2 linked regions of the Macaca fascicularis genome follow. The protein of the gene in region 1 purifies or fractionates together with the protein of each later gene. This does not show direct contact. Links are inferred from orthologs where the notes say so. Each region holds a gene or a part of one and is shown in the gene's direction. Other genes may lie near its edges.

Region 1 (3,820 bases):
GATCTTGAATCCCTATTCCTCTGTTCCAGTTGATTTTGTCACAATGGGCATTGACATAGTTTAATTGGGCAATCGTGAAATTTGACATATGTTCTATGTTCATATTTAAATGTATGATGTGATTTTTGTAGGAAGTATACATACTGTTTACATTATAGATGTGCTGTGAAATTTTATCTTGGAATCTTTTTTAGAATGAAATTTTTGGTTCGACGGTGGCATCGAGTCACAGGTTCTGGTTCCATCAATATTAACAGAGATGGCTTTGGACTGAATCAAGGTGAAGTCAAAATAGCATATTTTCTTATGTTTATGACTCTCTAAATCAGAGGTCCCCCACCCCCAGGCTATGGACCCATACTTGTCTGTGGCCTGTTAGGAACCAGGCCGCACAGCAGCAGGTGAGTGGCGGGGACTACTGCCCGAGCTCCACCTCCTGGCAGATCAGCCGTGGCATTAGATTCTCACAGGAGCACAGACCTTATTGTGAACTGCACATGTGAGGAATCTAGGTTGTGTGTTCCTTATGAGAATCTAACTAATGCCTGATGATCTGGGGTGGAACAGTTTCATCCAGAAACCATTCCGGCCCCTCTGGGTCCATGGAAAAATTGTCTTCCATGAAATGCGTCCCTGGTGCCAAAAAGGTTAGGGACTGCTGCTCTGAATTACTGCATGTGTAATACTTACCAAATAATGAATTCTGGAAACAATGTTTTCCAAAGACAAAGCCCTTATAACTGCCAAAACTAGGTAACTTCACTGTTTTTTAAAGAGGATAATAATAGCTGATTTTCATGGAGAACTTAGTCTGCACCGGGCTGTGCTCTTTTCATGTATTCTCCCAATCCTGTGATAGAAATACAGTTGTTACTATTCTCACTTTTAGATGAAAAACCGAGGCATGGAAAACACATGTCATTTGCCCCAGAATGGCCAGTAGGGAAGTGATGGAATCAGGACCAAACACTGGCAGTCTGGCTCCAGAGCCCATACTCTTCATAACTGCATTTAAGGCACTGGTTCAAGACAGGATTGCTGTTAGTCATATGGAATAATTATGAAGTTTTCATAATTTAACAATATTCAAACAGGTTTCTGAGTTTACCAAGAGGTTGTATAATAATGGTAACAGCTAAAATTCCTTCTCTCTACACCTAGAAGTGGAAACAAACTAGGGCTTGAACATTTCTGGCAATAAAGATGAGGTCCAAATCTGGGGAGCACACAGAGGTACAGAGGACACAGCATCCCTGTGCTGTGTATTCACAGTAAACCACCTTCACATCCTCTACCAGGAGCTGAGCATCCGAGAGAGGGGAAATAGCTTTGGTACCCTACACAAAGTATTTTGAAATATCATTACACTGAAACAGCTGAAATTTGTACCATAATAAGTTGTGTTTTATTAAAAGTTAGCAAATCTTGATTTTAAGTCAATAGAATGGAATGTTTACATAGTCTAATATTTTTTATCCACATCATTTCCCACAAACCACACATACTCAGACACCCCTCACCTCTCATCTACTTAGAGCTAAGGTCTTTAAAAAAGAAAGTATGCCAATTAAATAATTTTCTTTGAGACATAATTCCAGGTATCAGAAATACTCATATTCAAAAGTAAACAAAATAACATTTGAAAGCCAAATTTTTGTTTGCACTGTTTCTCCTTTAGCAAGAATAGTAAGAAATGACTATAAATAGGAGATGGTATAATATAGTATAATAGTCTTTTGAGCAGTTATCTATTTTGTAGAAATTTTTTAAGGGCTTGGGTTTTATTTTTCTTTACAAGGAATATTTTGGGTTACTTTAGGTGCAGAAAAGACTGACTCATTTTTTCATTCTTCTGGTGGGCTGGAGCTATATGGAGAACCAAGACACACAACGTATCGCTCAAGATCAGATCTGGACTATATTAGGTCCCCTTTACCATTTCAGAATAGGTAAGAATTTGAGAAAACCTGCCTGGAATTGTTAAATGTATTCATATTTAACAGAGAAAAATGGACATTTTTAGGGCTTTGACTTCTTTGCATTGAGACAGACATCTTTGTTATATGTAATTTACATAATCTGACCAGGCATGGTGGCTCACATCTATAATCCCAGCACTTTGGGAGGCTGAGGTGGGCAGATCATGAGGTCAGGAGTTCAAGACCAGCTGGTTTGAGACCAGCCTGGCCAACATGGTGAAACCCTGTCTCTACTTAAAATACAAAAAAATTAGCCGGGCATGGTGGTGGGTGCTTGTTATCCCAGCTACTGGGGAGGCTGAGGCAGGAGAATCGCTTGAACTCAAGAGGCAAAGGTTGCAGTGAGCTGAGATTGCACCACTGCACTCTAGCCTGGGCAAAAAGCAAGACTTGGTTTCCAAAAAAATAATAATAATAATGCACATAATCTAAGGCTCAATGTAAAAATGTAAACACCAGTGTTTAAATTTGTAACTGATTTCCAAGGGTATAGCAAACAAAGCTGACCAAGTGTTATTTAGTATATGCTGTGATTAGATATTGGTAAAAGTATTGATTAAAATTGATAGTCTCTGACCATTATGAAAAGCTTAACAATCTTCATGACAAGATGCATTTATACATACCCAATTTATTGAGACCTCTGCCACAAGCATTGTATTGGACATTCTTATGTTGACTTAGTAGCATCTTTGAATTTATTGAAGAGTCGTCTCTTTCTCATCCCAAACTCCAAAGCTGAAGCTTAGGGGATATACATTATGTGTGTACAAGTGACCCACCTTTTTGGGGAAGGGAGTAGAGGCAGGTTGGTAACTTGTATGCATATTTCTGGATAACTTGATTCATGTACATATTTTTAATCCTTTAGGTACCCAGGCACTCCAGCTGATTTCATTCCTGGTTCTTTAGCATGTTCTCAGCTTCAGAATTACGATCCTGACAGAGCCCTAACAGATTATATCACTCGGCTGGAGGCACTGCAAAGACGACTTGGAACTATACAGTCAGGTGCTCTAAGTTTAACCACATCTTGGCAGCACCACAGTGCTAGACCCACAGCTCCCCTTTTTTTGAAATTCTTTCACACTCATCATTAGGATAATCAAAGCTTCCAGTTTAGTGCATGAGCTATTAAGTTAGCCAAAGCTTAAACTCTTGTAACCAGCAGAGAAACTGACTTTAAATAATTTAAGTGAAAATATGATTTATCACCCCAGATCTCACTCCTCCCAAAAATGATTTCCTACTATCTTCATTCAGCGGACTGATGACACAAATGCACAATGAGCACCAATGTGCAAGGTACTCTGAGTCTACAGAGCCTTACTGGAGAACGTATTCCTAAGTAGTGCGTGGCAGAAAGTGGTAAGGCCGTGCCACAGCACTCCAGCGTGGGCAGCAAAGTGAGACCCTGTCTCAAAGAAAAAAAAAAGTGGTAAGGCATACAAATCGGGTGGAGTTAAGGAGGAAGCACTTGCTTTAAGCACTTAATGTAACCATTTTCCCTGCTACTATATTGTGCCTTTATGTATCATCCAAAAAAATTATCCCATTTTAAAATACTTCATAAGGATTCTTTTATTTTTCTTTGTTCAAAAACAAAAAGCAATTCATACTTTAAAATAAAGGTGGATTCCCTGTTCATGGAAGGAAAACCTCTTTTCCCTTTCTCACTTCAGTTCACTCCTGATTCAAAGACTTTGAATCACTTAGTAGTTTCTCTCTTCCTTCAAGAAAGCATTTGTTTAAACCCAAGCATCTTGTAGTAATAGGAAACTTTTATTATCATAGCTGAGTGTGCTTGTTGGTTTGCCTTGGCTTGTTTTGTTTTGAGCATC
Region 2 (3,820 bases), on another chromosome or scaffold:
GCTCCCCTCCCGAGCTGTGCATGCCTGGGTAGGAAACAGCCCTTTTGAGTTTCGTTTCCTCATATCTCTGAACTGAGGGTTAGAGAGCACCAACCGTTTAGGGCATCTGTGAAGATTACATGAGATCACGTATGTACGGGGCTGGACACGGGGAGCACTTGGAAATTGCAGCTGTGACTGGAATTCTTAACCAGGCTTGTCACTGCTTGGTCCACACTCTTGTGACTGAGAGTGGAATTGGCCTGCTCTGTGGGGTTCGAATAAGTTACCCTATGGTAGAACTAACCTGTGCTTCTCATGCCTGTGGGGCCTTCTTAGGGTGCAGGAGGAGGTGAAGTTGAGGCAGCAGCTGCTCTCACAGAATGACAAGCTATTGCAGTCCCTCCGAGTGGAGCTGAAGGCGTATGAGAAGCTGGATGAAGAGCACAGGAGACTGAGAGGTACCGGGGGGGCTCTGGTCCGAGGCCCTTCTCACCTTGAGGCTACTGTGCTTTGGGCTGTAAGCCCACCCGACCGCCGGCTGTAGGCGCAGGAGGGTAGAGCTCAGCCCTCTCCTCTCTGGCCTCGTGGGTAGAATGGATGGGTGTTGAAGCTAGCGCTTTGACCCACTCTTCTTTTGAAGGAACAGCAGGAAACATAGAAGGACTGAGGCTCAGCACCCAGGCCAGCCACGGTCCGGGTTCCCACTCCCTTGTTCCCAGCTATTTGACCCTCAGCAGGCCACTTCACCCTTTGAGCCCAGCCCATACATGCCTCTGTAAAACATGTCTCTCAGCACCTGTTGTGTGGAGAATTGTGTTGAAAATTGAATGAGACCATTTATTAAAAGCATCCTAGCATGATACCTGACACATAGTAAGCACTCGGGAAATGACTTTTATTATCGTCCTGCTAGTGTGTGTTACTTTTTGCCCATTAATTCAGCAAACATTTATGGACACCTCTCATGTGCTGGGCATTGCTCTGGGGATAGTTGTTGGCCTCAGTGCTCTCTGTATCCCAAGAGAGATACCAGCTCAGAGTGCTTCAACTATAAGGTCTAATGTTTCAGAATCAATTTTGAGGTGTGGTGAGGTGTTTTTTTGTTTTTTTTTTTTTTTAAACTAATTTTCCAGATGGTTTCTCTCTATTGAAAGTTGATCTAGAAAGGGGTCATCTCACAGCTTTTATTTTCTTCTCAACTTGCTTTTCTTATTCTTGCTGTTGTGTCTTTTTAATATACTGTGGCTCTTAAAATCATCCCCTTTCATTCTATAATTCTAGCCCAAATAGATTTTATTACTACTAGACATAATTTCGGGGTTTGGTATGCAATTTGCTAGGCTTTTATGGCCAGAAGCGAAAATTAATTTCCAGCTCTTATTTAGCTTGTGGAATAGCAGCAATTAAGTCTGCCAATATTTTTGTTTCTAAAGTCAAGTTGTTATTTTAAACTGTACCTAGTTCTTAGGAAGAGGGAGGGCGATGGTGGTGGCGGGTGTAAAACGCGATTGAGTTCCTTCAATGGCTGACCCTTTGGTTGTAGAAGATGTCAGGGCTTCTCTTTGCACATGTCTGCAGAGGCGTCGGGAGAAGGCTGGAAGGGGCAGGATCCTTTCAGGGACCTGCACAGCCTCCTGATGGAGATCCAGGCTCTGCGGTTGCAACTGGAAAGGAGCATTGAAACCAGCAGCACTCTGCAGAGTAGCCTCGAGGAACAGCTGGCAAGGGGGGCAGAGAAGGCACAGGAAGGAGCCCTCACTCTGGCCATCCAAGCCCTGTCCATCCCTGAGGTGCCCCTTCAGCCTGACAAACACGGTACTGCCCCTGCCTCTCCCCACTTGGCTGAGAATGCAGCTCTGAGCATCTGTGTGTGACGTGTGAACTTCTGAATGATGCCTTTGCCCCACACAGGTGTCTTTCCGTTGATAGCTGACACGCTGTACCCTGGGAGCCAGGGGACCTGACTGCTAATTAATTAGACGTCACCTTTGGCAAAGTGGCGTAATCTCCATCTGAGGCATCTTGATTCTCAGGGAAGTGGAATTTGGACTTCCAGACACCCTCAATGCCTCTGGCCTTGCTCCCTCCTATCCATTTATTCCTGCCTGCATCACTTCCATGCTGAAATTTCTTTTAGTTTCTCTTACTGCCTTTAGAAGGGAACCCAAACATCTTAATCTGGCTTTCAGTGTCTTTCAGGATCTGAAAATCATCCTGATAGGTTTAAAAAGTGGATCTGTTTTGCATTTGCTTGCAGGTTAATTGCCTAGCCCTGGAGAGAGGCTGTGGGGGGGTACCAGAAAGAGGAGCAGACACCTCTGCCACCTGCCCACCACAGGGTGTGGAGCAAACCAGTAAATGGTTAGACTCCAATCAGTCAGGCAGCCTGTCCTCTTTGCTCTAGAGATGAAAAACAAAGGCCCAGAGAGTGGATGGGGCTTGCCCAAAGTGGCATAGCAATTAGGCAGCAGAGCTGGAACTAGAAACCATTTCCAGCTTTGACTCTAGGGCTGTTCCTAAACCCACTGGACCCTCTGGAGCCTTGGGTATCCTGGGATTATCTTCCTGACACCCATGGGGTAAATATGTGTATCCAGTGGGATGAGGAATGCCAGCATGCTTTAAAAGCAGTATTGTACTAAAGTTTGCACTTACTTTTACTTGGATACCTCTAGTTAAAAAAATAAAAATAAATCTCTTAAGGAGTACCTAGTCAGTCTGCCTTAGAACTTGTAGTGATTAGTTCATTGATTTCTCATTGACAAGGATCTTAAAATTTAACCAAAAAGATGATGTAATAATATGAAAAAAGTGAACAGAGAAAAAAAGTTGATGATTCTACACATTGATCATTTTTTAAAATTTGCATATTTCTTTTCATTTATTAAATATCGGCATGAATTTATATTTTTCAAATTGGTTTTTGTGTCATTCTGTGTCCTTTCTTTGTTTTTGTCCAATATTGCATCATACATGTTCCCTCTGCTTTCACATGGGCTTCCTAATGATTGTTTGCAGGCTATTCTTAGTCACCAGTCCATGACCCCGTTGATTATTAAAGTGGTCTCTGATTTAGAGCCATAATAGACATCAATGTTAATATACTTTTTGCTGTTAAACAATATTCTTAGGAGAAAACCCGACCAGGGGAATCTCAGAAGTTTAGAAAGGTGCCATATTTCTACCTTCTAAATGGTCTGTCCATCAGAAGTGTACAAAGGTAGTGGTTTTTGCGTGACCTCATCAGCATCGGGCATTAATATTTTTAACATGGGTCTGCACCTGGCCCTTTTTAAGGCTTTGAGGAGCTTGTGGGGGTGGGCTAGGGGAGATTGAAGCAAGGAGAAGAGTTCTGTGCTTGGGGTGCCCAGGAAGGAGCGTTGGGTAGCTGAAGCGAGGAGGCCATCAAACAGCCTTTGCCTTTGAAATTTGCCGAAAGCAGCCCTCAGCATGTGTGGCAAGAGGCATCCAGGAGAGCATTCAGAATTCACGGTGTTGCCTCAGCAGAAAAGTTTTCTAATTTTCTTGAGTCAAGATCAGAATTGTAGGCAGCAGCATTTCTTCCTTTGCAAAAGACTTCTCAGGTCTGTATTTAAGTGCATCTGTTTTTAAAATTATGTTCTAAAGGCTGATGTCTTTCGCTGAGAGTGATTCCTCTCAGGGCCAGCTCTATGGAGCTGACCTCCTGGCTCCTTGGCCTTAGGAACTGTAGCAGACCCTTGGGTGGTGCTGGAGTGCAGCAGCCCACTGCCCAGTGGTGCAGGAGCTCTGATGGGGGGATCCTAAACCCTGGGCTCGCTTGCTCTCTGCCACTGACGTGCTGGGTTATGCTGGACAG

Evidence for each region.
Region 2: the proteins of AKAP9 (region 1) and CDK5RAP2 purify together in Homo sapiens (affinity purification with western blotting; 4 studies listed by BioGRID and IntAct, with this or other methods). This does not show direct contact. The link is inferred for Macaca fascicularis from reciprocal best matches to the Homo sapiens genes AKAP9 and CDK5RAP2.

What each region holds. Positions count from the first base shown.
Region 1 is NC_088377.1:129,244,991-129,248,810, reverse strand, and holds part of AKAP9 (A-kinase anchor protein 9), read left to right. Parts: intron 1-194; coding exon 195-280; intron 281-1,819; coding exon 1,820-1,949; intron 1,950-2,850; coding exon 2,851-2,990; exon of another isoform or gene 2,991-3,820. UniProt on the Homo sapiens protein: Scaffolding protein that assembles several protein kinases and phosphatases on the centrosome and Golgi apparatus. Required to maintain the integrity of the Golgi apparatus. Required for microtubule nucleation at the cis-side of the Golgi apparatus.
Region 2 is NC_088389.1:37,582,692-37,586,511, forward strand, and holds part of CDK5RAP2 (CDK5 regulatory subunit-associated protein 2), read left to right. Parts: intron 1-318; coding exon 319-440; intron 441-1,560; coding exon 1,561-1,797; intron 1,798-3,820. UniProt on the Homo sapiens protein: Potential regulator of CDK5 activity via its interaction with CDK5R1. Negative regulator of centriole disengagement (licensing) which maintains centriole engagement and cohesion. Involved in regulation of mitotic spindle orientation.